5 linked regions of the Canis lupus familiaris genome follow. The protein of the gene in region 1 interacts with the protein of each later gene in a biochemical or structural test. Links are inferred from orthologs where the notes say so. Each region holds a gene or a part of one and is shown in the gene's direction. Other genes may lie near its edges.

What was found.
Region 2: the proteins of SPI1 (region 1) and MECP2 form a complex in vitro, tested with the Homo sapiens proteins (2 studies listed by BioGRID). The link is inferred for Canis lupus familiaris from reciprocal best matches to the Homo sapiens genes SPI1 and MECP2.
Region 3: the proteins of SPI1 (region 1) and IRF1 form a complex in vitro, tested with the Homo sapiens proteins (2 studies listed by BioGRID). The link is inferred for Canis lupus familiaris from reciprocal best matches to the Homo sapiens genes SPI1 and IRF1.
Region 4: the proteins of SPI1 (region 1) and IRF4 are reported together in a solved structure, tested with the Homo sapiens proteins (2 studies listed by BioGRID, with this or other methods). The link is inferred for Canis lupus familiaris from reciprocal best matches to the Homo sapiens genes SPI1 and IRF4.
Region 5: the proteins of SPI1 (region 1) and IRF8 form a complex in vitro, tested with the Homo sapiens proteins (3 studies listed by BioGRID). The link is inferred for Canis lupus familiaris from reciprocal best matches to the Homo sapiens genes SPI1 and IRF8.

What each region holds. Positions count from the first base shown.
Region 1 is NC_049239.1:42,677,025-42,683,222, forward strand, and holds the start of SPI1 (transcription factor PU.1), read left to right. Parts: upstream 1-2,700; 5' UTR 2,701-2,924; coding exon 2,925-2,969; intron 2,970-5,626; coding exon 5,627-5,726; intron 5,727-6,198. UniProt on the Homo sapiens protein: Pioneer transcription factor, which controls hematopoietic cell fate by decompacting stem cell heterochromatin and allowing other transcription factors to enter otherwise inaccessible genomic sites.
Region 2 is NC_049260.1:123,059,902-123,066,243, reverse strand, and holds MECP2 (methyl-CpG-binding protein 2), read left to right. Parts: upstream 1-2,682; 5' UTR 2,683-2,935; coding exon 2,936-3,033; intron 3,034-4,622; coding exon 4,623-5,706; 3' UTR 5,707-5,839; downstream 5,840-6,342. UniProt on the Homo sapiens protein: Chromosomal protein that binds to methylated DNA. It can bind specifically to a single methyl-CpG pair. It is not influenced by sequences flanking the methyl-CpGs.
Region 3 is NC_049232.1:20,771,556-20,777,685, reverse strand, and holds the start of IRF1 (interferon regulatory factor 1), read left to right. Parts: upstream 1-2,211; 5' UTR 2,212-2,368; intron 2,369-3,402; 5' UTR 3,403-3,407; coding exon 3,408-3,494; intron 3,495-4,765; coding exon 4,766-4,865; intron 4,866-5,704; coding exon 5,705-5,881; intron 5,882-5,986; coding exon 5,987-6,036; intron 6,037-6,130. UniProt on the Homo sapiens protein: Transcriptional regulator which displays a remarkable functional diversity in the regulation of cellular responses.
Region 4 is NC_049256.1:2,066,694-2,072,314, forward strand, and holds the end of IRF4 (interferon regulatory factor 4), read left to right. Parts: intron 1-701; coding exon 702-814; intron 815-2,779; coding exon 2,780-2,923; 3' UTR 2,924-4,119; downstream 4,120-5,621. UniProt on the Homo sapiens protein: Transcriptional activator. Binds to the interferon-stimulated response element (ISRE) of the MHC class I promoter. Binds the immunoglobulin lambda light chain enhancer, together with PU.1.
Region 5 is NC_049226.1:67,305,776-67,311,941, reverse strand, and holds the start of IRF8 (interferon regulatory factor 8), read left to right. Parts: upstream 1-1,885; 5' UTR 1,886-1,941; intron 1,942-5,442; 5' UTR 5,443-5,443; coding exon 5,444-5,617; intron 5,618-6,166. UniProt on the Homo sapiens protein: Transcription factor that specifically binds to the upstream regulatory region of type I interferon (IFN) and IFN-inducible MHC class I genes (the interferon consensus sequence (ICS)). Can both act as a transcriptional activator or repressor.

The sequences.
Region 1 (6,198 bases):
TGAGATCACATGGGTGGAAGCGCCCAGCACAGTGTTGGGCACTCAGAAAAGTATTGCCCCCTCCCTTACCTTTAGGAACTCTTAGCCTCCAGGCGTTGGATTACCCTTCTTGCTGTTCTGAATTGCTTAGAATCTGGGTGCTACTAATCCAATGGTTTTGAATAACAGTGGTCTCTGGGGTTGTGAGGAAGGGAAGAGGCCCCTGGTGCATTTTGGGAGGAGAGGAAGTGGAAGGAAGGGTAGGGAGGGCTTGCTGGTGTGTGAATGGACACACATATTGGTGTTCACTGCACAGACAGTGGAGTTATTCTTGCCCATTTTTAAAGCTTGGTGGCCCTGGATCCTTTTCGGGCTTCCGTATCTGGGCCCCTTGGGCTTGGGATAATGGAATCTTTCTTCTCCTGGGGGGCCTTAAGACTTAGGCCTGAGGAACACATAGCTGACAGGGTATGCTGTCTGCCTCGTGGAGCTGAGGGCCACACTCCCTGCTTCCAACCAGCACAGGTTCTGCGTCTGTCCCTGGATGCACCCCAGTTTCCTTGGGCTGACACTCAAGGCTCTTTGCTTATCTTGTCTTGTTTCTTGCCAGAGGATGGGGCCTCACTGTTCCCTTGTTCTTTTCCATCTTCTTGCCTTTGCTCAGGCTGGTTCCTCAGCTGGATGTTCCCTTTTCCTGGCATGTTTTCCTACCTATGGACCTGACCGAATTAATTGTTCCCCAGTGCACTTAGCACCTCTCCCTTGTTCCCTCACCTCCTCAAAGACCATGCTATCTGTTTACATGTGTGTTTCCCTTGCAGGTCTGGGAACTCCCAGGGGCCCAGGACTGCCATATTCACATTTGTGCCCCCTTACCAGGCCCCGCACATAAAAAGTTAGTGATTTAAAAAATGAATTAATAGATAAATATGCATATAAACAAACCAAACCAAACCAAGATGGGAATGAATGAATGAATGAATGAATGAATGAAGACATCATGCAGGACCTGTACTTATGGAGTAAACCCACCCCACACACATGCAGTCAGCTAGGACATGGCCTTCTTGATGGGGAAGTGAGGAACAGGGATGAAACTGATGCCCAGTCAGCAGCCTCTCCCTTACTCTTGGGGAGGGGCCTTGGTCAGGTTCGTAGGGAGTCCTGAGGACTTGTGACCTTGACCCCTTGGAGAGTCCCAAGTACAGATTCAAAAAATCAGTGAAGATGGAAGTGAAATAGATCTAATAGTGAACCCAGACCTTGTGAATCCCTAGTCTCTGCTGCCAGTGAGGAAAGAAACTCTTGGGGGCCTGAGATTCCACTGACAAGAAGGAGGCAGGCTAGTCTTAGTGGGAAGAAGGTAGAAAATAAAGAGTTGGACTACACATGGGAAGAAACTGAATGCTCAAAAAATTCTTCTCCAGTGCAGTGGACTCACTGGGGATCAATGGATCAAAACTGTCTCTGTTCATCCTTCTGTCTTCCAGACTAGATCAGGAGGTCTCTGAAGGTAGGGATCTTGTCTGAAACTTCTATTTTCCCATCACTCGGCATAGAGCCTGGAGGTCAGTTAATATTGGCAGGATGCATAGGCAGATAGATGAATGGATGGATTGATGGATGGATGGATGCATGGATGGATGGGTGGATGGATGGTTGGGTCAATGGATAGGTGGTTGGATAAATGGATGAATGGATAGATGTGTGAATGCATGAATAAGTGGACAGATGGGTGGATGGATGAATAGGTAGATGAACAGATTGAGAGCTGCATATACAGTGGATAAACAGATGAAAATATAAGTGGATTAATAACAGATGGATGGGCTAATATATGAGCATTTCAATGGCTAGATGGACAAGTAAATAAACAGGTAAGTGGATGTATGGGATGGACCAGCAGATAAATGGATGGACAAATGCACAGCTAAATGAACTAATAAACGAATGTATGGTTGGCTTGATGGGTGAAAAGATGGATGGATCTTGGGTAGGAAAATGAATGGATGGGCCAACAAGAAAGGTTTTTAAACTAGGAAGACTAAATTGATATTCAGGTATTGGTAGGGGTGGGGAAACTGAGAAATCTGGGTTGGGAATAAAGCCCCTAGAGATTTGGAAGAAGTGGGGGTACTCAGAAAACTGGGAGGGAAGGTTGTAAGAACCCAGGAGCCTCCTCTGGTGGAAGGGAAGCTGGTATGAAGGAGCTCAGGGAGGGGGAAAGTAGCACTGTGCTGAGGACCCTGTCCTGGAGCCCAGCCCCAAGGCAGATAGAATATAAGAGCTGGAGACCCAGATTCCAGAAGAGCCAGGCCTGACACGCTGGTAGATCACACCACTCAGGCTGACCCCCAAAAGTGAAGGCCCCAAGAAGCCACCCCTACCAGTTTTGGCCCCAAGCAAGAGACTGTTGGCCACATGGGAATCTCAAAAGCAGTGGGTATTAGTGGGGTTAGGAGTTAGGGGGCCTCAGCAGGGCCTGGGGGGCAGCACTGGCCTCCCTGCGGTCGAGCTAGCCTTCCTCCCTCCTCCTCTTTCTCCTCACCCCAGCCTCCAAGACCGCCCCTCACAGCTCCAGCTTCCTCTGGGCAGGGGGTCTGGCCCCCATGGTCTCTCAGGCCAGGCCCTGAAGCACCACCTGCCCCAGCCCAGCCTGAGACTTCCTGTAGCGCAAGAGATTTATGCAAACGGGCTGGGGCGGTGATGTCACCCCAAGGGGACTATCTCCCAGTGGCAGGCCCTTCGATAAAATCAGGAACTTGCGCTGGCCCTGCAATGTCAAGGGAGGGGGCTCACCCAGGGCTCCTGTAGCTCAGGGGGCAGGCCCGAGCCCTGCGCCCGCCCCGAGTTCGTCCAGCCCCCCGACGGGGCGCCCCATCCTGAGGGGCTCCGCACTGGCCCCCACCGAGGCGGGGGACCTGACCGGCTCGGAGCTCGGCTGGATGTTACAGGCGTGCAAAATGGAAGGGTTTCCCCTCGTCCCCCCTGTGAGTACCGGGGCTCCTCTGCGATCCTGACCCGCGGCCCGCAGCCGCCCGTCCGCCTGCCCAGCAGCCCAGCAGCCCAGCAGCCGGCCGGCTGCCCCCCGGCTCCCTATCTGTGGGAAGCTGGTGTTTCCTCCCTGGAGCTCCTGGCCCGAGACCCGGCAGGGGCCGTTGGCTTCTTCAGAGCAGGCCCTGGCGGCCGAGGGTGGGCCCACGGTGGGGCTGTGATCGGTGGGGCCTGAACGGTTATTTATAGATGGGGCTTGGGTGGCGGGTTGGTGGAGCTCCTGGGCAGGGTGCCGGGCTGGGGATGGTGAGGGCGGTGGCAGAGAGATGGCGGAGGAGGAGATGGGGAGCCTGGTGCGAGGGGAAGCCGGTCCCCAGAACAGTAGAGGCGTGAGGGCAGGAGGCCATAGGCCAGAGGTCTCTGGCCCGAGGCCTGGATGCTCCTGGAGACTGAGGCTGGTTTGTGTCTGGGTCTCCAGTGCCCGCTCTGGGGCCTGGCCCAGGGGACATGGCTGTTGACCCGGGGTCTGGGCCTCGGGCCGGCAGGTCCCCAGGGGCTGGGCGGCAGCGGGGAGTGGAGCGGAGACTGGGACGGCTGTTGGGTTGGGGCACTGGCCAGGGAGCAGGGAGACCAGGCAGGTGCTGGAGCGGGCCGTCTGGGGTAGGACCCAGCAGAGCGGAGGCTGCAGTGAGGGCAGGGGCTGAGGGTGGGACAGGGCTGGGACTGGAGGTGAGGCGGCAGGAGTCCCAGGGGACCCCTGGAGGGGAAGGGCAGCAGGCGGGGGCCGGTCCCCACTGCTCGTGCCCTCCATGACAGTTGCAGCCTTGGGCAGGTGCAGACCTGGGCCCCACAGGGGGGACCCCTCTCTCTTTCCCACCCTGTGCCCGCTCAGCAGGGCCCAGGGCCGGGGAGCCCTGGGGGAGCCGGGAAGGGCTTGGCAGGGCCTGCCCACCTGACTCAGCTTTCCCGGACCAGAGGCAGCTCCCTGCCCCCGCCTCACCCCAGCCAGGCCTCAGAGCCCCGGGAGGCACCCCAGCCCTGACATCCTGCTGTTGGGCTGCGCTGTCTGGAAACCAGGGGCTGGGTTCCCGGCCTTCTTACTGGCCAGACACAGACAGCCAGCTGTAGCTGGCACCCAGCCCCAACCCCACTCCCCCATCCACCACCAAGAAGGTAGTGGAGGGCAGGCAGGGGGGAGACAGAGAGGGTCCCAGGAAGAGCCAGGTCTGCCTCAGGAAAACCACAGGTCCAGAAGCTTGACCACACTGTCTCTGACCCTTGACCTCTCAATCCCCCAATCTCCCCAAACACACCTGAGCAGGAGGCACATCTCCTTGGGTGGCTACACCAAACCCCTTAGGGGCTACTCTGCGTACTCCTGGGAAGGTGGGCTCCCAAGACATCTCAGCCTCCCACCCAAGCCCCAAGGGCTGGAGTAATTGTTGTGCAATCCCTGGGCACACACTGTGGGGGTGGAAGGAGGCCTGATGACTCTTGTGAAGAATGGGTGTGTGTGTCCCTGTGCCTGCACTAGTACAAGGAGGAGTGGGGGGGGGGGGAGGAAGAGGAGGGGGAGAGAAGAGGACAGGGAAGAGTGAGGGAGTGGAGGGGGGGAAAGGGAGAGGAGGACAGGGAGGAGTGAGGGAGTGAGGAGGGGGAGAGGGAAAGAGAAGAGCAGGGAGGAGTGAGGGGGAGGACGGTAAAGGGGAGAGCAGGGAGGAGAAAGGAGGTAGAGGAGGAGGAGGGGGAGGAGGGGGAGAGAGGAGGGGGAATGGGGAGAGGGGAGAAGGGGGATGGGGAGGAGTGGGGAGGAAGAATGAGGAGTGAGGGCAGGAGGGAGGAGAGGAGGAGAAGGGGTATCCCAGTGGGTGCGTCAGAGGGAGGAGGGAGGAGGGAGAGGGAGGGGGCCAGGGCTCTGGCTGGTCAGGCCCGCGTGGTGAACACTGAGGAGCCATGAGTGTGAGTGGCCACGGGTACCTAGGCCCGAGCACAGGCCGTGGGGACTGTGGCGGGAGGAGCAGCATGTACGCAATGACGATGGGTGTGCGGGCGGGATGTGAGTGACCACGATGGGCATGAGCTGGAGCCTGCTGTAAGGTGCCGGAAGGCAAGTGTGAGGATACCTGTGTAAACTCAAGTGGCTGCGTGTGCCTATGGTGTGAGTGTGCGATGGTGAGTGTGAATGCGAGGGGCCTGTAGAGCATGTGAAGGTAGACCATTGGGTGCTAGTTCATGTGTGGGGGTGTGGGTGTCACGGGGAGCGTCTGTGGTTTGGAGGTGTAGGTGTGTCAGCGTGATCATGAGAGAGTGCTTGTGCAAGGTGGGGCCCTGTGGGGGCCAGTGTGCATGTGTGGTTTGAGGAGCAGCTGTGCAGGGGGGAGGGGGAGGCCTGGGGGCCTCCTCTCAGCCCAGGTCCTCTTTTGACCTCTGACCTTTGGAGTCCGGTCAGCCCCTTTCTGCAGCAGCAAGACTCCAGTCCTCCTAGGTCCCCTGTCCCCACCGCGGTCTCCCCAGGTTCCAGGCGGGAAGGGGGCCTGGTGCTGTGCCCAGGGGCAGGGTGGGGGAGGTGGTGGTGGTGGCCGCGGCGCACCAGGGCTGCCACCCGTCCCAGCTGTCCCGCTGCCATCCGAGCCCTGACAGCCTGGTCTCTCAGCAGCCATCGGAAGACCTGGTTCCCTATGACACAGACCTGTACCAGCGCCAAACGCACGAATACTACCCCTATCTCAGCAGTGATGGAGAGAGCCACAGCGGTGAGTACGCGGCCCTCGGCGCCCCACACCCCCGCCCGCACTGATTGAGCATCTTCGTTGTGCCAGGGCCCGAGGTTAGCTCCGTCCACATTTATCTTCTCGTCCAGTCCTTGTGGCTTTTCACAAACGAGGAAGCGGAGGCTCAGGGAGCTAAGCGACTTGTATAAGGTCACGCTGCTGGTCGGTGGCACTCCGTCTGTCTGCTCCAGGTCCGACTTTTTCCTCTCCTGCTCCCCCAAGCCCCCAATTCTTCCTCTCTGGTGCCGTCACCCCCTTACTGTACGGTTCACGCTAGTGTAGCCCCTGCTCCCTGCTGTGTTCTCAACCTCCATGGACATGTGGGGCTGGAGCATTTCTTTGTTGGGGGGCCTGCCCTGTACAGTGTAGGATATCTGGCAGTGTCCCTGGCTTCTACCCATTAGACGCCAGAAGTACCGCCAGTCTCCACAACCAGAAAGGTCTCCACACATTG
Region 2 (6,342 bases), on another chromosome or scaffold:
TACTCACCTTGTCATGGTGTCATCTAGTGCAAGGAGTCCTTTTAGCCACCTCCTATGTCCTTTGACTTTCCCCTCCTCTGTCCAAGCACTCCCCTGCCTTTCTGCCCTCACAGGCCACCGTAGAACCACAACCACCCACTTCTCCCAGGGCCAGCCTGGTTCCCTCCATGGATGCTGGACATGTTCCCTAACCCTGGGTGCCATATCAGGCCTTAAAATATGTCCCACCAAGGATATGCAGAGCAGTGTGGTCAGAGGTATTTGAAATAAATTTTCTCTTTGGTGTGGTATCAGTTTGATACATGGTTCAGTTTGTTTGTGTTTGCATTCAATACAGTAGGGTTTTGGTACTGTTTACTTTCTCATTTTGGTTATGTAAACTTTTATATGATTCAGAGAGGTCTTGCCTTGCGCCTATACCTTAGCTCGTTCCCACCCATCCTGGGACTAGGAAGTACTTCTTCCCTTGTTTCTCACGTGAAAGGCATCCTGTGATCTGTAGGAGATCCAGAGGTGCTCCTTCTCAGCCCTCTCAGGCTGCATGGCTCTCCATGCTATAGGCATGGCATCGTCCATTCAGTACGTCTTTGTTGGTAGCTCTATGAGTTGTATGCAGTACTGGGTCAGGAAAAATGATGCCGTTAACAAATAATATCATAGACTTAACTGTTTGGCATTTCTGGGGGTGTGTCTTTTTAGGGTAGAGTTCTAGAAGGGATTGACCTTGATGGCATCGACACCCTTGATTGTATCTAAGAGGCATTCCTGGGATATGTGGTTTGTACTTGACCTCATGGATGGTTAAACTATTTGGGGAATATAAATGAGTGTTCTGGAGAAACCAAACCTTTCCCATGGGTGCAGTGTTGTCTGCCGACTCCAGGACTATCCAGGTTCCAGGGAGTAGCCCTGGCCTTCAGCGGTGGCCCGTGGACTGTGTGGGAGTGGTCATTCCAGTTCATCTGCCACTCTGCTGCTGGCAAGCTCCCCTTCTCCCCTCTGTGTTGGGGGACTACAGGCTATAGGCCACACCAAGCTTCTCAGGATTCTTCCTCAATTCCTGCTGAAAGGCTAATAAGACTGTGATAATTGAAAACTAAGCTCTGTGCTGCAACAGATTAGAGACCCTCACTTTACAGCAAGAGAAGATCTCCTGTGGGCCGTGGGCTAAATCAGGGTCACCATGGCAGCCATGCTTTAGAGTCCTGAGCTGCTAAAGGATGACCCAGGATAGGGAGGAACTCAGGGACAAGCCTGTCTCCCAACCCCTGACCTGAGCTGTTCAGAAAAGGCATGTTCTCATGGTGCCAAGAGTCCTGATACTAACCCACCTTTGGCAGCTTACTGACATCATTTGAGTCTGGTTTCCAGTACATACCACAGTGCCTCCATTGGAGTCTCCACAGTGTGAACAAGGGGGTTGCTTGGGGTAGACTGGCCATGAGGCAGTGACCAGTGCTGACACGAGCCACATGGGACAGGGCAGCTCTAGGGCTTAGATATCAAGGGCAGGAATAGTCTCATTCTCTTCTAGACTGAATTGCTGAGAGACCAGCAGATGGCTGGTTCCAAGCCTCCCCAGCGTGGGTGGTGTTCCTGCCCTCTTAGCCCTGCTTTAAGAACACCACGGGCGGACTGATTCCAGGGTCCAGGGCCTTTCCAGTGCACACAAGGAAGGGACCCTACCAGGTGGAGCCAAAATAGCAGGAAGGAGCTGCTCTGTCAGTGTGAAAGCATAAGGAGGTGCCCACCCTGGAGTGGGGAGGGTGCTCTTCTGTGCCTTTGTCCTTGCTCTCCCCTTCTACTGGTTGAGTGTAAGGCAGTCATGGCTTGTAAAGGAATGTCTGATAATAAAAGTTTAGCAGACCTGGGGTGCCTTCTCCTCACTCCAGAACCCTGGGCAGCAGTTTCTGGTTGCCCGAGTTGGCTAGTGTTTATATGGTGCTTTTGTGACTTTTCTTCCTCTGGGGTGTTGGTGCCTATTACCAAGATGAGGAAACTAAGGCACGGAATGTTGAGGTCACTTGCTCAGGTCCATGTTTAGAAGTTGCCAAGTCAGAATTTGAGCTCAGGTTGGGCTGGCTCCAAACCTGTGTGTTTTCTCCACAGCACTGTGCTGTGCCTTATCTCCCAAGGGGGTAGTGCTAGGCTCTGCCACCATCAGTAAGTTGCATCGTGCTCCCTGACTGTTTTATCAAGCACACATTTGAGAAAACTTACAATACAGAAGCTATACTAACACCCAAGCCAGGTCTTTCGTGAAGAGGAGCCCTGGCCACATTTTGGGTGGGCAGCTCCCTCTCCAGTAGTCAAGGGCCTCTTGTCAGCCATGAAGTCTAGAGACTGTTGGGCACAGCTTGTAAAGTGGCCTCTTCCGAGGCAGTACACTGAGAAGCCACCTAGTGTTTCTACCCAGAAAAATGCCGCTCATTCTCCTGCTTGTTAGGAGTGGGACTTGGGACAGAAGGACTCAGAGTGGTCACAGTGCAGGTAGGGTAAAGCCCAAAGCCCCCAAAGAAATCTTTGAAGGAGAAAGGCATCAGGATCTGGGTGAGCATCGGTGGGGCAGCCCTGTCTCTCAGAGCCCTGCCTGTGCTGGGGTGCCCCAAACCCGCCATTGCTTACTTTTTCTACAAATCGGTGTGTTCCCTGTGATACTTACATACTTATTTAACACTTCAGGGAAGAAAAGTCAGAAGACCAGGATCTCCAGGGCCTCAAGGACAAACCCCTGAAATTTAAAAAGGTGAAGAAAGAGAAGAAAGAAGACAAAGAGGGCAAGCATGAGCCCCTGCAGCCACCGGCTCACCACTCTGCTGAACCAGCAGAGGCAGGCAAAGCGGAGACCTCAGAAGGGTCAGGCTCAGCCCCAGCTGTCCCGGAAGCTTCTGCCTCCCCCAAACAGCGACGCTCTATCATTCGTGACCGGGGACCCATGTATGACGACCCCACTCTGCCTGAAGGTTGGACCCGAAAGCTTAAACAAAGGAAATCTGGCCGCTCCGCTGGGAAGTATGATGTGTATTTGATCAAGTAAGTAAGGGCAACTCCTGTCTCTACAAAGCAGGGAAGGCTGGGTGGGCAGGAGGCTGGGGCCAGGTGCTGAGAAACTAATGGGGATCCCTTAGAGTGGCAGCTCTTTTTTTACTCGATGATCAGGAAAATGTGTGTATATCACCCATCTTGGGCTGGGGGTGGCTTCAATAATGAACACCACTTGCAGACCCCTCCAGGTATGTTTCAAATGACTGTGTACAGAGTTCACCGCCCTGAGTGTGACTTTACCCCACCAGCCCTTGAGGTCTTGTCTGGAGATGGCATCGCAGTAGGGCCTACCCAGGGCCACAGTGAGGACACAAGAAAGAGAGGTCGCCTGAGAAACATTGAGGACACAAGGCCCTGCCCAGGCTGGTCCCAGAGGCCACAGGACCTGCCATGTGTAGTGGCCTGTGCTTGGAAGGCAAGCAGGGCTCTCTGGGTTCCTCTCATTTCCCAGCTGGGAAACATCCAGCTGATGGGCTCTTCTCAGAACCTGTTAAACAACTCTTCTTTCTGTCAGTCATTCCGTGACTTGGCTGCATGACCCAGAAGAAGTAGGAGTTCAGAGGGCTCAGTCTACTCTCTGAATCATGTTGGGAAAGGTGAGCTCTCTGACAGGGCCTCTGGGGACACATTGGTGTCTCTTCATGTGCCTTTCCAACTGTCATTGGTGCATTTGTCCAGCTTTGAGCTGGTCATTGGGCATTTTCTATTGAAACAGTGTAATTCAGGGATCCCTGGGTGGCGCAGCGGTTTGGCGCCTGCCTTTGGCAGAGGGCGCGATCTTGGAGACCCGGGATCGAATCCCACGTTGGGCTCTCAGTGCATGGAGCCTGCTTCTCCCTCTGCCTATGTCTCTGCCTCTCTCTCTCTCTCTGTGTGACTATCATAAATAAATAAAAATTTAAAAAAAAAAAAAAAAAAAAAAAAAAAAAAGAAACAGTGTAATTCCCAAGCCAGAGCTTCAGAGAAGGACTGAATAAATACATTTCAGTTCTGGCCCTTAGATGATCCAGAAAAGATAAACAGTTTATTTGCAGACATCCTCATTTGATCGCAACAACTCTGAGAAGGGTGAACAAAAAGCATTATCCTACTGACAGATGAGGAAACCGATCCCAGAGAGGCTAAGCAGCATGCCCAGGTTCAGACAGAGAGGAGTGCTTTACTTACTGACTGGGCCCAGGCACCAACCAGCAGAATGCCTGCCCCTCAGCCTTCTGGCTCAAGCGGGTCTCCAGGCCAGGCCCCTTTGGGAGCCAGAGGAGGGGCCTTGGTGGTAGGCGGATCCTCAGGGGCAATAGCTGCAGAGCAGCTGACACCCAGCTGTTCTTGTCACTGGAGCACACCCTGTGGGTGCTCTCCGCCGCCCAGCAACCCAGTTGCTTTGTGTGTGACCATGCCCCTCTAATTTCAGCCCATTTTGGCTTTTCTCTAATGTGACTCTCATTGAATAGTATCATCAGGCAGGTCAATTGCAGAACGTCCTGTCACAGAATTCAGCACATTCTTCCTGCCCCATCTTTGTACATTAGCGGGGAAGCTTCTAATCGTTCTTTGTGTCTCTCCATTTGTTCCCACAGTCCCCAGGGAAAAGCCTTTCGCTCTAAAGTGGAGTTGATTGCGTACTTCGAAAAGGTAGGCGACACCTCCCTGGACCCTAATGATTTTGACTTCACGGTAACTGGGAGAGGGAGCCCCTCCCGGCGAGAGCAGAAACCACCTAAGAAGCCCAAATCTCCCAAAGCTCCAGGAACTGGCAGAGGTCGGGGACGCCCCAAAGGGAGCGGCACTGCGAGACCCAAGGCAGCAACATCAGAGGGTGTGCAGGTGAAAAGGGTCCTGGAGAAAAGTCCCGGGAAGCTGCTCGTCAAGATGCCTTTTCAAGCTTCGCCCGGGAGCAAGGCTGAAGGGGGCGGGGCCACCACGTCAGCCCAGGTCATGGTTATCAAACGCCCAGGCCGGAAGCGAAAAGCCGAGGCTGACCCCCAGGCCATTCCCAAGAAGCGGGGCCGAAAGCCAGGCAGTGTGGTGGCAGCTGCCGCCGCAGAGGCCAAAAAGAAAGCCGTGAAGGAGTCTTCCATCCGGTCCGTGCAGGAGACTGTGCTCCCCATCAAGAAGCGCAAGACTCGGGAGACGGTCAGCATTGAGGTGAAGGAGGTGGTGAAGCCCCTGCTGGTGTCCACCCTCGGCGAGAAGAGTGGAAAGGGACTGAAGACCTGCAAGAGCCCCGGACGGAAAAGCAAGGAGAGCAGCCCGAAGGGGCGCAGCAGCAGCGCCTCCTCACCCCCCAAGAAGGAGCACCACCACCATCACCACCACTCAGAGCCCCCGAAGGCACCCGCGCCGCTGCTTCCGCCCCCGCCCCCTCCCCCACCTGAGCCCCAGAGCTCCGAGGACCCCGCCAGCCCCCCTGAGCCCCAGGACTTGAGCAGCGGCGTCTGCAAAGAGGAGAAGATGGCGAGAGGAGGCTCGCTGGAGAGCGACGGCTGCCCCAAGGAGCCAGCTAAGACTCAGCCCACGGTCGCGACCGCCGCCACGGCCGCAGACAAGTACAAACACCGAGGGGAGGGAGAGCGCAAAGACATTGTTTCATCCTCCATGCCAAGGCCAAACAGAGAGGAGCCTGTGGACAGCCGGACGCCCGTGACCGAGAGAGTTAGCTGACTTTACACAGAGCGGATTGCAAAGCAAACCAACAAGAATAAAGGCAGCTGTTGTCTCTTCTCCTTATGGGTAGGGCTCTGACAAAGCTTCCCGATTAACTGAAATAAAAAATATTTTTTTTTCTTTCAGTAAACTTAGAGTTTCGTGGCTTCAGGGTGGGAGTAGTTGGAGCATTGGGATGTTTTTCTTACCGACAAGCACAGTCAGGTTGAAGACCTAACCAGGGCCAGAAGTAGCTTTGCACTTTTCTAAACTAGGCTCCTTCAACAAGGCTTGCTGCAGATACTACTGACCAGACAAGCTGTTGACCAGGCTTCTTAGGGTATGCCTGCACCTCCCCTCCCACCCAGACCTCCCCCCACCCCCCATGTGCTCATTAGGGACAGAGAGTGGTTGAGAGGACACTCCCAGTCTCAGCTCTCCTCTCCTCCCGCCCTGCCCCACCCCCATCCCCCCAGCTCCTCCACCTTCCCCATCCCTACCCACATTGGGACAAGGAGGTGTGAGGCAGGAGAGACAGTTGGATTCTTTAGAGAAAAAGACAGAGATGGCCAGTGGCTACAGCCTGTGTGATCTCACCCATGGTGGCACAAATCTGGCCCCACGCCAGCCCCAATCCAAAACTGACTAGGACAT
Region 3 (6,130 bases), on another chromosome or scaffold:
ATATGGAAATAACCTAATAGGAGATTAATGGGTAAATAATTATCCTTATTAGAGAATAATATATACCCAATAATATGTATCATAGAAGTACATTTCATGGCATGAAAGATATACATACAGATGCAGATGATTATCTGTGAATTAAAATAAAGTTTTTGTCAAAGCACTTCTTACAGACTCCTATTGTCTTAAAAGGGTCATTTTGGTCAATTTCTGAGACCGTATAAGATGCAAACTTCCTTTCCCTGATCTCATTTTGAATTTTCCAGTGCCTATATCAGGTTCTTCAAGACAAGACAAGCATCCATTTGCTGCCCAGAAAACAGACTTCACAACTCAGGAGCCACTTGCTTTCTGCTCTTCTTGCTCAGAAGGTCTTGATTTCTGTAGTGGGTGTCCACTCCACCTGTCACTTACAGCACCCTACCCCTTCTCCCCCTTCCTGGGTCTCAGCACCTTCCATTTTTCTTAGCCAGCTAAGGCTCATTCCTTGTGGTTCCTCCTGTCTCTTGGCCTCTCTCTCAGGGACTGCACCCACTACTCTCTGGGAGACAGCTCCGACCCATTCTTGTTGGTCTCTTGGGAACCAAGCTTCATGTTAATCACAGCATCAGATCCTGGTGCACGGGGATTGGATTAACCCATCCATTTCCTCTGTAGGAGGAAGGCAGCTGAGTGACTGACAGGTGGAATGCTGCATCAATGTGTCTATTTATAGTCTGTACCATTGCAACTGGGTGCTGCTGTGGAGGGAGAGCTGGGTGAGGGGAGTGACACAACCAGCGCAGCCTAGAGGAGCAATTTACTTCTGAGTCAGCAGCTTTGGGGAGGTGAAGGAAGGAACATGCCAGGCCAGAGTTCTGGACACTCAGCCCAGCCTTTAGGAGAGTGCAAATGGGGCAAGGTCTACTTTAAGGCACAAGAGTTAAGTGGTTGCCCTTTCCAGGGGACTGGGACCTGGGTTCCTTAATTCTTTGTCCACATCCATGGTCTTGACCGACCCTAAGCAACTTCCCCCATGCTGCCTAGAACCTCTCTGGGCCAAGCGCCGAGGGCCACAGGCAACACCAATGCTGCTGCTAAGGAGCACCCCTGTAAGGGCTCTGTGAGGCTGTGGAGGTGGCCTAAGACAGGAGTGCTAGGGAGCAAGGGTACCCAAGCCCTAGCCAACTCCGTAGCCAGGGCTTCTCCGAAACCCTTCTCCTTCTCCCTAAGGTCAGGTATATGGCAGCCCCAAGGATGTAGACCCAGAAGCGGCACCCAGAGAGGTGCCTCTCTGTCGCTGTTAGGCTCTGGGCAGGGACCTCAAAAGCCACACAGCACCTGCTGTCCTCAAGTGCGGCTCTGTGCTTCACAGACATCGTTTCTGGGTAGCTGTAAACCAGCAAGTTAGGGCTGCTTGTTTTACAGTCGAGGAGACTGAGGTTCCCAGTCCCGTGCCAGGCTGCACCTGCAGCGGCCAAACTGGGATTTCCTCTCTCCCTCCCGCAGCCCCAGTCAGCACCCCAGGCGCAGTAGGCTTTCCTGGACTTCCCCAAGGCAGGTGAGGGTCCTGGGGGCCGGCCGCCCCTCCAGAAGCGAGTAGTAGGAGGGCCCAGACGCTTCCTTCTTGGCACCCCGTTAGCAGGTTTGAGGAGCCAGGCTCGTTTACGGGGTTTCAATCCCGGGCTGTCCGCTCTGAAGAGGACAGCAGGTGCCCGGGTGACCTGCTCACCTGCGCTCGGAAGACAGACGTCCCCCGCGCCCGGCGAGGAGGCTGAGAGCAGGCCCGGAGAACGCGGAGCGAGGGGAGTGGCTGCGGGTGCGGGTGCGGGCCGGGGGCGTCCGGCTTTCCAGGACAGCCTTCCCCGGGCCGCGGGGGTGGGGGCAGGGGCAGGGGCAGGGCAGGGGCAGGGGGAGGGGGAGCGGACGGGGCGGGCCCGCGGTCGCCCCAGGGCGGCGGCGCCGGCCGGAGGGGGTGGGGAGGAGCAGCCGCCCTGTACTTCCCCTTCGCCGCTAGCTCTACAACAGCCTGATTTCCCCGAAATGATGGGGCGGCACCGACCAATAGGCGCCCTCGCGGCTCCTCGGGAGGCGGGGCCGGGCCTGGGTTGGGGGAATCCCGCTAAGTGTTTAGATTTCTCGCCGGCGCCGCTGCCCCGGCAGAGCGCGCCACTCCTTCGTCGAGGCAGGACGTGCGCCGGAGCCCGGCCGGGCCGAGGCCGAGGGAGCCGCGCCAAGCCAAGGCCAGCCGTGCCCCCCGCCCCTCGACCCGCGCAGCCTCTGCCTTCGCGCCGCTCCCTGCGGGATCGCGCTCGCCGCAAGGACACCGCCGCGCCAGCCGACCGGGACCCTCGGGCGCCGCGGGTGGATCGCGGCCGCTGCGGAGGTGAGTCCGCCTTCGCCGCGGGGGGGCGGTCGGTGGCGTCGAACAAAGGCGCGCGGGGCTCCGGGAAGCGGGGCCGACCCCCGGCCGGGAGAGTCGCGGGCGCGCGGCGTCGCGGGGGCCCCCGCGCGGGCTCCGGAGGGCGCTGGCGGAGCGGCGAGCCGCGGCGGGGAGGGCGGGCCGCGCGGCGTGGACCGCCCACGAGCCGAGCCTGCCGAGCCTGCCGGCGCCCGGCCGGGTCGCGGATCTGTGTGCGCGGAGCCCCCGGGCCTCTGCGCCGCTCGGTAGACCTGCCGCGCGCATCCGTTAGCGGTGCGGGAGACTCGGCGCCCCCAGCTCCGCGCCCAGGCCTCAGGTTTCGGGCTGTACGTGCAGGTGTTGGGGCGGGGAGGGGGGGGACTTGCTGCCTGAAAGGCCGGTGGACCTGCTGAGGCTACGCATGCGAAGAGGCGCCACAGGTGTTCCTTCGGCTACTTCGCGGAGGACGGGAGCCAGACCGGGAGGGGTACCTGGTCTGGGAGCAGCATAGAACAGACTGGGGGGTGCAGGGTCCCGGTAGAGTGCAGGGTGGTTGCTTGCCACCAGTGCACGGCTAGCTAGTGGTAGCGGCGGCAACTCAAGTAGGGGGATTTATGGGCATCAACCAAAAGAAGCCTGTCCCTTACCAAAGGATTTGAATTTGGGGAGGAAAGTTCTGGCATTAAAATATCTGTGTATTTTGTCTGTTTCTTCTGCACATAAATCCTGAAACTATCACTTGCACGCCTGTCTCCTCCCCAGAGTGTTTAGAGGATCGTGAGGGAAGGGGCTTAATTGTTTTTGCCCATGATGCTGAAAATATTTGGAGAACAGTTTTGTTCTGGTGAAAGCCTTCTTTCCCATGATTATACTACTTGGTACCTGGTGGAGGGCAGGGGAGAGTTAACTGAATGACCTTGGGCTGCGGTGGGGGGGTGGAGGTGGGGGTTGCAGGCAGGGTAGTGCCTAAGGGGCTGCTCTGCAGACTCCAAACAGGAGCGTCTGTTTTCTCTTCACAGCCAACATGCCCATCACTCGGATGCGCATGAGACCCTGGCTAGAGATGCAGATTAATTCCAACCAAATCCCAGGGCTGATCTGGATTAATAAAGTGAGTGTCACCTTCTGGGTTTTTATGCCACTATTTTAACACATGTTCTTTGAGGGGACCGAAGCTTCAGATGCAGCTCAAAAACGGAAGTGATGAGGAGGAGGCAGATGTGTTTGTTTCCCAGTGGGTCCTGCCTGCAGGCAGTATGCAAGGGCCCAGCCTTGGGCCGCTCTGCCTTCTTCCCTTCCTTGATATGGACAGGGCACTCACCTGAGGGCACTGACAGTTTGCATCAGCAAGACTCTCCCCGCATCTGCAGAGCCAGAGTTCTGGTCTCTTTTACGAGAGACTCCTGCAAACATACAGCATCCTACAGGGTTCCAAACAGCCAGGAGGCAGAGAAATGAGCACCTAGTGGTGAGAAGATGGCTGGAGGAGCAAGGGACCTGAGAATTAACCTTGCACTGCTGGCCCAGGCTCAAGAAACCTCATGCTGGTGCACAAACCCTGCAGACATAGTAGTAATAACAATATTCATAATAATGCTTACTGTCCACTCCCTATGAGCAAGTGTGATTACTGTGCTACGTCTGTTACTTACGTTGTGTCATTTAATCCTCACAGTAGCCCTGTGAAGTAGATCCTGTTAATAGCTCCATTTTCAGATAAGGAAAACTGAGGCACTGAGAAGTAGATAATGAGATGACACAAAAAGTGATCAAGTCAAGATTTGAACCTGAGCAATCAAACTCAGAAATCCAAAGTGTTAACCACCAGTAATGATAACAGTGAGACTTAGTCTTTATATTTGTCACTGTGATTTCTCATTTCACAGAAGAGAAACCAATGAGGGACCAGGAGGTATAGGGACAGTGCCAGTGTCACACAGGTAGTCAGCATCCAAGACTGGCCCAGGGCTCCCTCCCTGTGTAGGAGCCAGTGGTCCCAATTGTCCTAAGCATCCCCATTTAATGGATGGAGTTTTCACTTCTGCGTTGGTGCTGAAAAGCCAGAGAGCATCCCAAGGTGCTCCTTATGGGTCCCAGCACACCTGTAACAGGCAGAGGGAGAGCTTTGGTGAGCTGATACTGCCATAGCTCTTCAGAACCCAGAGCCCCTTCTGAGAGATCTAGAATGATAGAGTAGTCTGTTTAAGCCATTCTCAGGATGGGTCAACTCAAGCCAGATGTCAGGGTGAAAAGGGGAAGTCAGCTTTTTCTCAGACTGGGGGGGGGGGGGGGGGGCGCGGCGGGGCTGGGCAGGCTCCTGCTAAAACCCTGTGGCTTCTGAGCTGACACAGCCTTGTATATATGTGTGTGTGTGCCATTCAGGAGGAGATGATTTTCCAGATTCCATGGAAGCATGCTGCCAAGCATGGCTGGGACATCAACAAGGATGCCTGTCTGTTCCGGAGCTGGGCTATTCACACAGGTGTGTGCCCTGGTCTCCAGCCCTGGAGGGCCAAGGAGAAGACTAGAGGAATCACTTCTATTAACACAGAGGCTCTTCATCGGGTTCCTTGAGATTGTGTACAAAATTTGGGGGTGAGCAGGGGGCAGATTTGTATTTCTGGGGAAAAGTTCCATCATTTCAGCAAGTTCTTAAAGGAACCTGTGAAATCAGCGTCTTCAGCAAGTTCTTAAAGGAACCTGTGAAATCAGCGTCTTAGAAAGTGTGATTTCAGGGAGTTTGTAGCTGGATTAAAGCTCCTTGGGGCAAAAGCAGTTGTGAGCCTGGATACTGAAAGACCCAAGTCTTTGATTTTCTTGATGTTTACCAAGGTCCTGGCCCAAGGCCCATCTGGTTGGCAGCCTCTTTTTATCCTTGAGGTCTGGAGCTCTTGGTCCATCTCAGATCAGACAGCACACCTATCAGTAACTGTTCTTTGATGCCTCCTCTTTGTCCACTGCTGTGTTTGGAAACATCAGATAAACCCTAGTCTTTATTTAATCTCTGGCTGCTAACAGCCCAAGCAGGGAGACTGGTTCTGGTCCAGCACCAGTACAGCCCGTGAAGACATACAGGCCCTCTAGTGCTTCTGGCTGGGCCCTTCAGAAAGGTCTGCTGGATGTGTCTGAGTCAAGCATGGGCATTTGAGAAGCCCCAGGGCTTGTAGAGGGTCACCCAGGAATACCGTCTGTTTGGCTAGTGTGGATCTCTGGCAGCATGAGAGCTTAGGGGTACTCTTGCCTTCCTCCTCCCAGGCCAGACAGCAGCTAAGGATTCCCACCTCTGGTCCTTATAGTCCTCTTCACTCTTCTGCCGACTAGGTCGATACAAAGCCGGGGAAAAGGAGCCAGATCCTAAGACATGGAAGGCCAACTTTCGCTGTGCCATGAACTCCCTGCCAGATATTGAGGAAGTGAAGGACCAGAGCAGGAACAAAGGCAGCTCAGCTGTGCGGGTGTACCGGATGCTCCCACCCCTCACCAAGAACCAGAGAAAAGGTATCCAAGGGCTCTGGATCCTTGGGAAGCTCAAAGGGAGGGAAGAAGAAGGGCAGCGGGGGCTGGTGTACCTGTACCAAGACTGATGGCCCATCTGCTTTGTAGAGAGAAAGTCCAAGTCCAGCCGAGATGCTAAGAGCAAGGCCAAGAGGAAGGTGAGTGTGGCCCTGAGCTACTAGTCTTTGGTCCCCCGGGAGTCAGGGTGGGCAGTGGGAGAAGTGCCACGGCAAGCCTGGGCCTAAGCTCCTT
Region 4 (5,621 bases), on another chromosome or scaffold:
GGGGCGCCTGAGTCATGGAGAAGTCCCGACTGGCCCAGATACCGGATTATAAGCGCTCAGCTGTTTTGAGATGACATTTTTAAATAATCAGAACATTTTTATTTATTTATTTATTTTTAAATATTTTTTTAAGGATTTTATTTATTTATTCATGAAAGACACAGAGACACAGGCAGAGGGAGAAGCAGGATCCCTGCAGGGAGCCCAATGTGGGACTTGATCCTGGGACCCTGGAGTCACGCCCTGGGCCGAAGGCAGATGCTCAACCCTTGACCCACCCAGGCGTCCCAATTTTGATTTTTTTTAAATGAAATTTCTCCTTTATATAAATTATTCTTTTGCCTCAATGTAGCTACATTGCTTTTCCTTTTCCTTCAGCCTTCACTCCTTTCTCCCACCCTTCGCACTGCCCTGGCTCCAGGGCTATAAGTCAAGAGTCTTCATCTGCAGGGCACGTTTCCCATAAAGAATCAGGTGAAACCTAGAGCTGTCTCGGGAAAAGCACACATATGGACATGGACATGGAATTCTCTATTGGGGTCTGAGGTTAGGAATCCCACTTAAGAGAAATAAAGAATACTCACTCCTTCAGTTTTCCAAATCAGCAGTGAGCTTCTGCCTCCTGTTTTAACCCGGCACGTTCAAGGATCGTTTCTGATCAGGGTCATTTGTTTCTGTCTTTTTCTTGTGGGGTTCTCTAGAGCTGCAAGCTTTTGCTCACCATGGCCGTCCCCTGCCAAGATTCCAGGTAACTCTGTGCTTCGGGGAAGAGTTTCCAGATCCTCAGAGGCAAAGGAAGCTCATCACTGCTCACGTAAGTATTTAGTCCCATTCAAATGATGGAGTTTCCCTATTTTCCATCAGGGGTAGGGTCCCATTTAGAAAATTCTCAAATACAAATATATGTCAAGTGACGGGAACATCCTAAGGGAGGAAGCATGGCCCAGTGAATGGTGCTGGGAGTCCAGGGACCCACAAGTTCTTCCCAGCCCTAGATGTCTACTCATCAAACCTGCACCGTGGGCCTCTTTGTCCCATCATGACAGTGTCCTATTCCCGTTTTATAAGGATTTAAAAGGACTGGTCGTAAAAGTGTCCCCTTAATATTCTCCATATTTAATATTGCCTTTAAAATGCCTTCTAGCTGACCTCCACTCAACGGACAAGCTCTTTCCAGATGGGAAGCTGTCCATTGACTTAAGTATTTTGCTGTTCCCCCAAATGTTTCCCAAATCCCCTTTTATTTCTGGATTTTTAGACATTATTTAACTGGTGGAAACCGAGGGCCATGTGTTATTTGGAGGAAGCTAACTCTGTCAAGGAATTTAAGTAGCTCAGACCACCAGTGTTCTCTAGCAGAGTTTGAAATAGGTTCGACTGCAGCAAGTAAACACCTTTTTCATAAAATAGAAAAGAAAAAATGATTTATAGAGATAGCATTTGGAATAAATTTGCCACAGAAAACAGAGCTTTGAATACCTAAGAGTTTTGAATTTGAGAACTTCACATTGCTACCTACCTTTGAGAGTCATTAATGGGCCCAGACAAAAAGGTAAAAGAGATCATACTCAATAATATAAATATTCAGGTCATATTGTAGTTCTGATAATGTTTTTTTGTTGTTGTTGAAAAACTGAAATAAAACACTAATTGTAAACCCGTAATCCTCCTCCTCTTGATTTGAAAAATCAAAAACCAATCCACCAACCAACCAACAACAACAAAAATATATATATAGTCTTGTAGATTTTAGGGCTTTTTCACGAATTCTCTCCAGTAATTGATACAATAATTAATATCTTGTTAACACCCAGGACTGTTAAATAACTAAATAAACTTGGTATTGACAAATAACATGTCAAAAGTTGGTGAAAAACTCCTGCACCCGCCAGATTTTAAGGGTGTTCTGGGTGCACCAGGCATCCTCTGAATCAGGCAGTGATGGGTTCCTCAAGCAATGGTCCCTGGAATCTAGGTGTCTGGGGTGGAAAAGAAAGATGGATTGGTGTACACCACGAGTTCTACTCCTTTTTATTATGGATTTAATTTATTTCAGGCATGTCATATGAATTATGCTTAAGTTTCTATATATCAAATAACATAAAGGCTCAATTTAATAGTGGAATTGATTAACAAAGTATTCTGTTTTCTTAGATGTTGTAAATTAAGGACATGCTGAAAGCTGAATTTTTTTTTTTTTTTTTTTTTTTTGGTGACTATGAACCACACAAATAGCCAAACTAGATGAATTTGGGTTCAATTAGCCTCTCTTTCCCCATAATAGCAGTGTTGTTGTTTGCATAGATTTTGCCCCTTTCTTCTTCCTTTCCCTTAGAAATCTGTGGATTATCTAGGTGGTCCAGGAATTGTAAATTGCTCAGGGTTTGCACCTGCGTCCCCGTCAAGCTGTGGTCGCGGAGAAATGCATTGGCCTTAATTATCCTGAGTTAGCTCCACCTTCACTGGTCACCTTCAACGGCCTTTTAGTTTGGTCATGTCCCTGATTTGCTTAGGCTTAGCCAAACGTAAATTTTAAGCGGCTGATCATTGAAAAGCACCATCCCTGACGTTAATGCAGTCGAAACTCAGAGCTCAGTAGGGCTCGTCGCCTGGCATGGGAGGGCGCCCGCAGGAACGGCTTCCCACAGTGCCACGGTTGACCGGTGGTGCCAACCTCGGACTCCGCCGTCCCTGAAATACGGAGTCAGTAACGACGAGCCAGTCGCAGGGCGCTCGAAAGCATGTTTCAATAACGTCTTCTTAAAATCTCTTATTAAAGGTCGAACCTCTACTCGCCAGACAGCTGTACTATTTTGCTCAGCAAAACAGTGGACACTTCCTGCGGGGCTACGACCTGCCCGAGCACATCGGCAGCCCCGAGGACTACCACAGGTCTATTCGCCACTCCTCCATTCAAGAATGAGAGGGCCGCCGAGGGGCGTCGTGCCACCGTAGATACCCGACGTTCCCAGGGACAGCTGACCGAACTCCCTCTTTTCCTTTTGAGAAAGCTGGCGATTGGGACTTCAGCCCTTGAGGAGAATCTCGGCAAGAATGAGCGTAAAAACAAACAAACAAACAAACAAACAAACAAACAAAAAAACCCCAAAAAAACCCAAAACCACCCCGGCTCCGTCTAAGCGAGCTTATTCCTAAGGAAACGCGGTTTGCAGGGTCTCCCGTAGACTGCCGCCTTTGAGGATCACTGTGAACGTTGACCAAAGGATGTGTTTACATTGACTTAAATGCTCTCTTTAATTTGATGTGGATTATCTGTTGCTTGAAAACGGAGAAAACTTGTGTTTCAGTGTCGACCACTAACTGGAGGGATAGAAGCACACGAGTGTCGTACTATTACTCAGGGAACTAATGTCTAAATTTGAGGTGACTCTGCCCACAAAAGGAACATGTTAATGCCCATAGAAGATGTCGCTCTTGTAGACAATGCTTGCTGTTAGAGAATCTTTGGCTGGGACTGGACCACGGTGCCTCCAGCCTCAGGCTGGCTCATTAACCCGCTGCGCCCGGGCCCGGGCCTGGCCCCACGGCTTCCCTGCCTTGTCTAACCACACCCCCCTCCGTTTGCTCTCTCTCCTCGGGCGCCCCTGAGAACCAATTGGTATTTTCTGGAAATAGGTTAAAAAAAAGCATTAGGGCTACCCTTGATTAGTGTGTTTAGTAAGGCCTACAGTCTGGCAATGGGTACTTGAGATAGTTTTTGTTTTGTTTTTTGTCTCTCTATTCTCTCTATTCTCTATATTCTATTCTCTATAGAATAGAAATCATGGCTAGAGCTATATTTTTAAAAAAGAAGAAAAGGGTAACAATCCAAGTACTGAAGATATATTTTTGAAACTCGGTGACATTTCCCCCTCTTACCCTGTTTGTTTTGTTTGGCTATCAGTTAGTTATCCATGACAACACTAAAGAGGAGGAGCCGATGCTTTTCAATTTGTTGAACTCTGTTAGGAAAGATGATGACAGGATTTCACTGATTGCGTAACTGCAGACTCAGTGGGCTGTTTTTGCTTATTTTGTATATTATGTGCTTCCTCATGCCAATATGGTTTGACAGGGCTTTTACTGGGCTTTTTCCAAATAAATCTTTTTATAGAATCACCAAGATCTCTACTTGCTTAAGTGAACCTGGTCACTTCCTTGTTGATTGTTTTGGAAAAGCACAGATGTTTAGACTGATGCTGGCAACTGATATTTTTATTATACTACGAAAAACTGCTCTTACTTTCAGGCTCAGCAAAAGACTTAATAGTTCTCAAATATATGCCTCTCTTATTCCAGCCTGTATTTCCAAATCATTCAACAAGCTGTGCCCCTTACATTAGACAGATTATCTATGGCCTTTATCCAATTTGGTAAGCAATGAAACAATTGGAATGACGTTTTTTTAACCTTTAAAAAGGAGGATTTTTAAAAAGAATTTTATTTATTTACTTAGAGAGAACGGGGAGAGGGGGACAGAGGGAGCGGGAGAAGCAGGCTCCCTGCTGAGCAAGGAGCCTGACGTGGGGCTCGATCCCAGGACCCCGGGGTCACGACCTGAGCCGAAGGCAGATGCTCAACTGACTGAGCCACCCGGGCGGCCCAAGGACTTTTTAATGGTAACATGATACATATTAACTACAGGAAATGGAAACAGTATACACAGGCCAAAAAAAAAAAAAAAAAAAAAAAAGGAGCACATCGTCCTCCTTTTCGCCAGCCCAAATTCCTCCCTTGAGATATCTGCAAGAAGAGTTTCACTTATTCTTCCAATACGCTTCACTTCTCTGTAGGTTTACATCAACTCAGAAAAAAAACAAAACGAACCACCTCCTAGGATCATCTTGCAGCCACTTTAATGCAGCTGCTCTTTCAACCTAAGGATGCATTTACCTCACCCTTTCCCGAGGCCTTGTCCTTGCAGAACCCCACCCGTGCAGGCCGTGCAGGCCGAGCGAGGAATTTCACCAGCCGCTAGGAGTGAATGCGTGTGGACAGCGGATTATATTTTGTGAATTGCAGTAATTTATACATCTTATAGATGCAAAGTGTTTTAGGGTATATTATCCTAAGGGGAAATTGAAGGCAAAATTAGGAATTGCTGTGACACAGGCCCCAGTGTATGCGGCCCCTCCTCCCTGGAGAATATTTAACCCACGCCAGCACTTCAGAGAAGTTCCCTGGTGTCAATCCCAGGGGTGCTGTGTCTTCTGAATTCTCCAAACAGAAGCTTATTTCTACGCTGTTGCGCATTCTTTTTTCTTTTCTTTTTTCTTTTTCTTTTCTTTTCTTTTTCTTTTTTTTTTTTTTTTTTTTTTTGATATTAAGCTACTTTAACACTGGAGTTACATTTCCTGGAAAATGCTCTTGGCTTGGGCTGCTGTCCCTTTTCTCATCCTTACTTCCATCTACTTTTTTTTTTTTTTTTAATTTGGAGGAATCCAGAGTGTGTGCTAAGGAATGAATCATGAAGAAATCAGGGTGAAGAACCTGGCATGAGCTCCTGCCTGAGAGGCTGGGCAACAGGTGGACACGCACTGAAAGAAGCCTTTCTCCTGTGTTGGCTGCACCACTGAACATCAATTGTTGCAGTTGGTTTTTTTTTTTTTTTTTTTTGGTAG
Region 5 (6,166 bases), on another chromosome or scaffold:
CAGGTAGGTAAGTAACCTGGGCAGGCTGAAGGGGCACATTTCTGAAAAGATATGAGTATAAACACGCACGCAGACTCTTTAAAGAATTTCTGAGTTCTGCAAGCTTGTCCCACATCATAACAAACATATCAAGATACTCCCATGTTATCTAAATACTCTCAAAGAATTTGAGCTTTGAAAAAATAGTTTTCATTTGAAATTATTTAGCGACAGGGAACTCATTTAATTTATGATTGCTATGACTTCCTGGCAATCATGGTATTAGGAAATTCTTACCAAGTGATTTCTAACTTACATGTGGTTTTCAAGTACAATGAAATGTTTATCAGTAAATAAATTACAATTTGAAGTTGGCACGTTACATTTTGGGGACTTTTCTTCAAACATTTATTAATTTCAAGCTTGCAGGGGAACCCTGGGTGTCTCATCGGTTGGGCCCCTGCCTTTGGCCCAGGGCATGATCCTGGAGTACCAGGATCGAGTCCCACATCGGGTTCCCTGCATGGAGCCTGCTTCTCCTTCTGCCTATGTCTCTGCCATGCTCTCTCTCTCTCTCTCTCTGTGTTTCTCATGAATAAATAAATAAAAATCTTAAAAAAAATTTCAAGCTTGCAGTGTACTTCTTGCATTTTGGGACCAATAAAATTTCCTTTTCAGGCTCAAACATTTTCACAGGTTCTTGAAAAGTCTAATGAATTAATGGCTTAGTAAACACTGCTGCTTGTGTATGATTGGCCAAAGAGGCAATAAAAGTCAATGAAGATTCTGACTCTTCTCTATAGAAGGGTGCCTAGACCTGAATGTGGGGAAACGTGTCTTTTTCCCTTGTTGCCAGGGTTTTCTTGGTCATTTCCATCACTCCTGCTGCCCCCACTCCACCATAAATAGGAAATGCCAGTTAACATCCAGGAGCGGCTGGAAACTGGGTGCAGACACACAGAAGACACCCCCCCCCAACACAACACAATTGACATTTTCTGGGGAACAACAGGATTTATGATGGAAATTTCCCTAATTGGACATTCTGGCCCTAATATGCTGGACAATCCTGTTTTTCTCTGGTCTTCAGATACTTTTCTTTAAACATCTGGGCTTTCTTTCTTTCGTTCTTTTCTTTTCTCTACACTCGGGGTCAGTGGGCAGTGACTGGCGCCCTAGGACCAGGTCTGTAAGGAGCCGCGGCAGGTGTACAGTTGGCCACTGTCTGCACACGTGACCAGGGTCTTCCTCTCCTCCGGGTGTGGGGGTGTGTGGGGTGGGGGGATGCCTCCCCTGCAGCTCCAGGAACTCGGGGCGCGCTCACCGAGGAGGGCCTGACCGCTGACCGGGCCTGCTGGGGGTCACGGTGCAGGGACCCCAGGCCGTCTGCAGCCCTGACCTCGGCCCCCACCCGCTCCGTGACTACCACCGCTCTCCACCTCCACCCACCCGGAGCCCTGGGTGTGGGGTCTGCACCCCGACCTCCCTCCGCCGTCGGGCCGGCAGCACCTCGTCTTCCGCCATCGGACTCGCACGCCGCGCCCCGCCCGCGGGCTCCGCCGCAGGAACGCCCCCGCGGCCCCTCGGGAATTTCTGCCGACACCCCCGCCCCGCGCCGCCCCCGGGACCCCCGACGCAGACCCCGGAAGGACACCCGGACCGTCAGCCACCGCCTCTGCGCAAACTGATTTCTCGGAAAGACGAGCGCTTCGAAGAAGGCCGGCCGGGCCGTCCGCCCCCATTGGGGGGCGCTGGCGGGGCGCCCGCGCTGATTGGCCGGCCGCGGCGCGTCTCCCGCGCCCATTGGCCCGCGCGGCCGCCGCTCGGCGCGCCGGGCCCGCCCCCGCCCTAGACCCGCGCGGGCGCCCCAGCCACCGCCGCATCCCCGGAGCGCGGCGGCGGGAGCGTGGGAACCGGGCGGCGGCGCCGAAGGCGGGCGGCGGGCTGGGCGCGCGGCGGCAGGTAGGCGGCGGGCTCCGGCCTCCTGGTCCCGGCTCTCCCTCCCGAGCCCAGGCCCGCAGGCCAGGCGCGGAGCGCGGGCGGCGGGCCCCCCGGCGGCTGATGCTTGCCCCTCCAAAATCCCATTTTTCTTAAAAGTCTGGCTTGCGTGGAAGCCCCAGGATGGCCTTTCTCAGGAGGGGGAGGACCGACCTCTTTACTGCAAGACCTGCCCTCCGGTCCCGCCCAAGTCCTGCTGCCCGGAGGAGCGCTTGGGAAGCGCCCAGTGACCACCGGGGTGGTGAGCTAGCTTGCGCAGCGGGGCGCCCTCCGCACCCATCCGACCCCAGGGGTCCCTGCCCAGAGAGCCCTAGCCCTGCAGGGCTCACAGCTAAAAGGCATTTGGGCGTAAAATGCGCCCCAAGGCAAAGGGGAGACTTTCCCGTTTGAGGTATGTTGCTTACCCCAGGGCTGTGGAGTGCTTGCTGGATGGAGAGACTGGAGGCTGAATGTTCCAGAATTTAAACTGTCCTTTCAACCTGTAGGGGGATGTAACATACTTTTTTTTTTTTTTTTTTTTTTTTTAAACCCGAGTTAGGAGCTGGTCCTGAAATGAAGGTTCTGAGCATGCCCTTTGAGATTATGGGAGGCTTTTCCAAGAAAAGAATTGAGAGTGGTTCAGTCATTTCAGAAAGACTAAGGCCAAAGTGACAAATAACTTTGATGCTTTTGGTTTAGGGGTGGAGGACTTGGGGCTGTGTTGCCACCAGGCAAATACCTCCCGCCCCACCTCGGGGCCCTGAGAGGTGTGGGTGGTGAGTCTTGCACCTCCTAGGCACATCCTGGAATCCGGCTTGGGTGGGGGCAGGGCAGCTTTTTATCACCTCCCGCCTGGGAAGCTGATTCCTGGGACCCATTTATTGGGATGCAGATTAGCTCCAGATAGGACTTGGCCCTTAAAGAGAATGATTATCTAAAAATCAAGGAAGAGGAAGTTATAAACATGTGACCAGGCTTATGAATTTTTTTCTGGCTTGACATTTGACGGGATTAATGGGTTAGCCTTCACTAAATCATTGTGGGTCATGGAGCTAGAATCTTAGGCTTGTATTGCCACTTAGAATCTTAGAGGTGCTTTCCATGAAGATTCAGGTGGGACTGGCCATGTGCTTAGATCTTGTAACGTGACCTTGGCTTTTCTCTGCAGAGCGAGCAAAATAAGAGTCTGCTGGGGTGCCTGGGGGTCAGGGTGCCCTTCTGGGCTTCAGTGTTAACTCCTGTGAGCAGGCCGGCTGGATTAGATGGTTTCTAAAGTATTGTCCAGTTTTCCTATTCTGTGATTCACTCTTCCTATCCATGCCCTCTCTCTGTTCTCATTTCCTGTCCTTATAAATCACCAAGACAGTTGTCCTTAACAATTCTGGGGGTCATGAGTGCCTTAGAAATCTTGATAAGAAGGTGTTGACCCACTTTCTAGAAAAATGCCCATACAAACAAAATCTTGCTTTTTATTTTCAGGAGGCTCCCGGAGCGCGGACTCTGGTTTATAAACCTCGTGCTAAGAGGGTGAATAAAGTCCTAATAAGTGGGCACATTTCATTGAATTGACAGATCCGCAGACACCACCGCTTCTGTTGTGGCCCCTCTCACCCTCCTCCTGCACACAGCTCACTCCTCAAGGGAGGCGAGATTCTCCTGTCTTTCCTCCAGGAAGGCCTGCAGGAATCAGTACTGTGCTAGGTTATCTTCTGGGGCATGTTTCCTTTCTCTCACCAGGTGTTCCTCCTAAATCTTTTTTTTTTTTTTTATGATTTTATTTATTTATTTGAGAGAGAGAGAGGCAGAGATAGTGACAGAGCATGAGTAGGGAGGAGAGGGAGAAGCAGGCTCCCCACTGAGCAGGGAGCCCAACATGAAGATCCACCCGGGACCCTGGGATCACGACTTGAGCCAAAGGCAGACACTCAACTGGCTGAGCCACCCAGGCTCTGCCCTCCTAAATCTGTACTTCATTTATAAGCACAAGGGGCTGTTTTGGAATTCTGGGATGCTTGAGGTGCATTCAGTTTGCAGGTGAGGAGAGCCTCAGAGAGGTTCTGGTGGTTTTCCCAAGGCCTAGCTGGAGAAAAGCCTTTGCTGGGTCTGCATTTTCCAAATCCAAGTCCAATTCCTATTCCACCCCCCGCTTCACCCCATTTACGCCCACCTGTGGGCATGGAAAAGTCACATTTGGCATTTGGGACTCTCCTTCTCCCCAGGACCTGGGCCCCCTTTCCAATCCCACACCTGTAGGGAGGCTGGTTTCCAAGTCCTGTACTTCTTGCTTCATGGACCAGCATGGCTCTGGATGTGACCGTATTCTTGGGGACATTATGTCTTGTCAATACTGATTATTTCACACCTATTTGCCCAAAGAGGTCACACTTTAATCAGAAGAATAGAAATGCCTTTTTTTTTTTTTGGTGGGCGTCTGTCCAACTGTCTAGGGGATTTCCACCCCTGTTCTTGTAAATGTGGGCTGTGATTCGATACGGCATGATTATTCTTTTTCTCTTTGCTGTTGGGAAAGCTGCCTCTTCTGGCAACAGTGTTCTTTTAGAGGATGTCTTTGGGTACCCTGGTGAGGTCCCCAAATCCTGGTGCCTTCTGGAAGAGTCTAGCCCAGCTGACTTTGCTTTGTCCTATGGCCCCCGTTGATCTTCCTTTTTGTTCCAATTGGTTGTAAGGGTTCCTGAGCAAGAAAGTTGGGGCAATAGCATCTGTTAGAATCTTTTCAGGTCCAGGCATGGCCTCAGGTGCTTCATATGCATCCTCTGAACCTTCACCACAAGGATGCCCAGTACTGATAGTTACTCTAGGGCTTCAGTCCCCCTGGCTCGCACTCCCAAGGTTAAATCATGATTCAGGGTCACCCAGCTGGGAGATGGTGGGTCTCAAGGGGACTCCAGCTCTGTCTCATTCACAAACTCTTGCTCTTATCATTAACCCAGCTTTGAGGGAATAATCTAGAAGGGCTATCTTTGAGGATCTCCTTTTTTGGAGCACACAGATGTCGTATTTGCCAATAGACATGGGTCAGACTGGGCATCAAGTGATAGAGTTGGCTCTGAGAGTGATGAGCTGCTTATTAAAGGACCTGGAACTGTAAAAGTGATTATTCCCCACGTCATGCTAAAAATGGAATGGTGCTCTTAGACATGGCTGTGTTTGTCTGGAATGGAGCAAGGGGCGAAGGGTGGAAGCAGAACCAGCCAGAACCTTAGGACAGGTGGGTATATGGTGCAGGGCAGCTGCAGATGCCCCGCAGAGTCTCAGTTTTCAGGACTAAGAGGGCCCAGGGAAGCATGCTCTTCCCACGGCAGGTGGCTCAGGGTCCTGGGGTCTGTGGATTTCCCCCTAGGCTAGCACCTGTGTTGCAGCCCTCTAATCATGCTGTCAGCAATTCTGGACTCCCAAGTACATGGGGTGCTATGATTAATGAGACGATATTTGTAATTTCACAGAACGTGTTTTTTTCTTTCCAAGGATGTGTGACCGGAACGGTGGCCGGCGGCTTCGGCAGTGGTTGATTGAGCAGATTGACAGCAACATGTACCCGGGGCTGATTTGGGAAAATGATGAGAAGAGCATGTTCAGGATCCCTTGGAAACATGCTGGCAAGCAAGATTATAACCAGGAAGTGGATGCATCCATTTTTAAGGTACAGACTGGAACTCCTATCCCACATCACCATCACTTGCTGTCTTCCCTTCGGGCCCACGGAGGCGTTGAGTGACATCTTTCTCCTTTGCTTGAAAAGCCATCTAATTTTGTTAAACAAACATAGATTGAGTGCTGAATGTGTCTCCACACACCTGTTGTGTGACTGAACCCCTTTGAGGTCAGTTGGCGGCTGTCGTTGGCATTTCCCCGGCAGGGGGTATCCAGGGCTCTTCCCCACCTACCCTTTCTTTTGCATGAGGCTGACAGTCAGGGAGAGAGAGGACTTCTGCAAGGCCCTGAGACCAAGACCTTTACCCTCCCCGGGTTACCATCTAAATTCCATTACGAATTCTAGGAAGGGCATAATAAGTCTTGGTACTTTCAAAGTTATTACTTCTGCCTGGCAATATAGCGTCAGCTCAGACAAGAGAGACACCATCTGTCATTGCTTCCGGGGCCGGGTCATGTGGGGTGTCCTGAACCTGCAGCAGAGGTCTAAGAATAGTCTTCCTTCCCCTGAGAATAAGAAGTGCCCAAGCATGGAGAG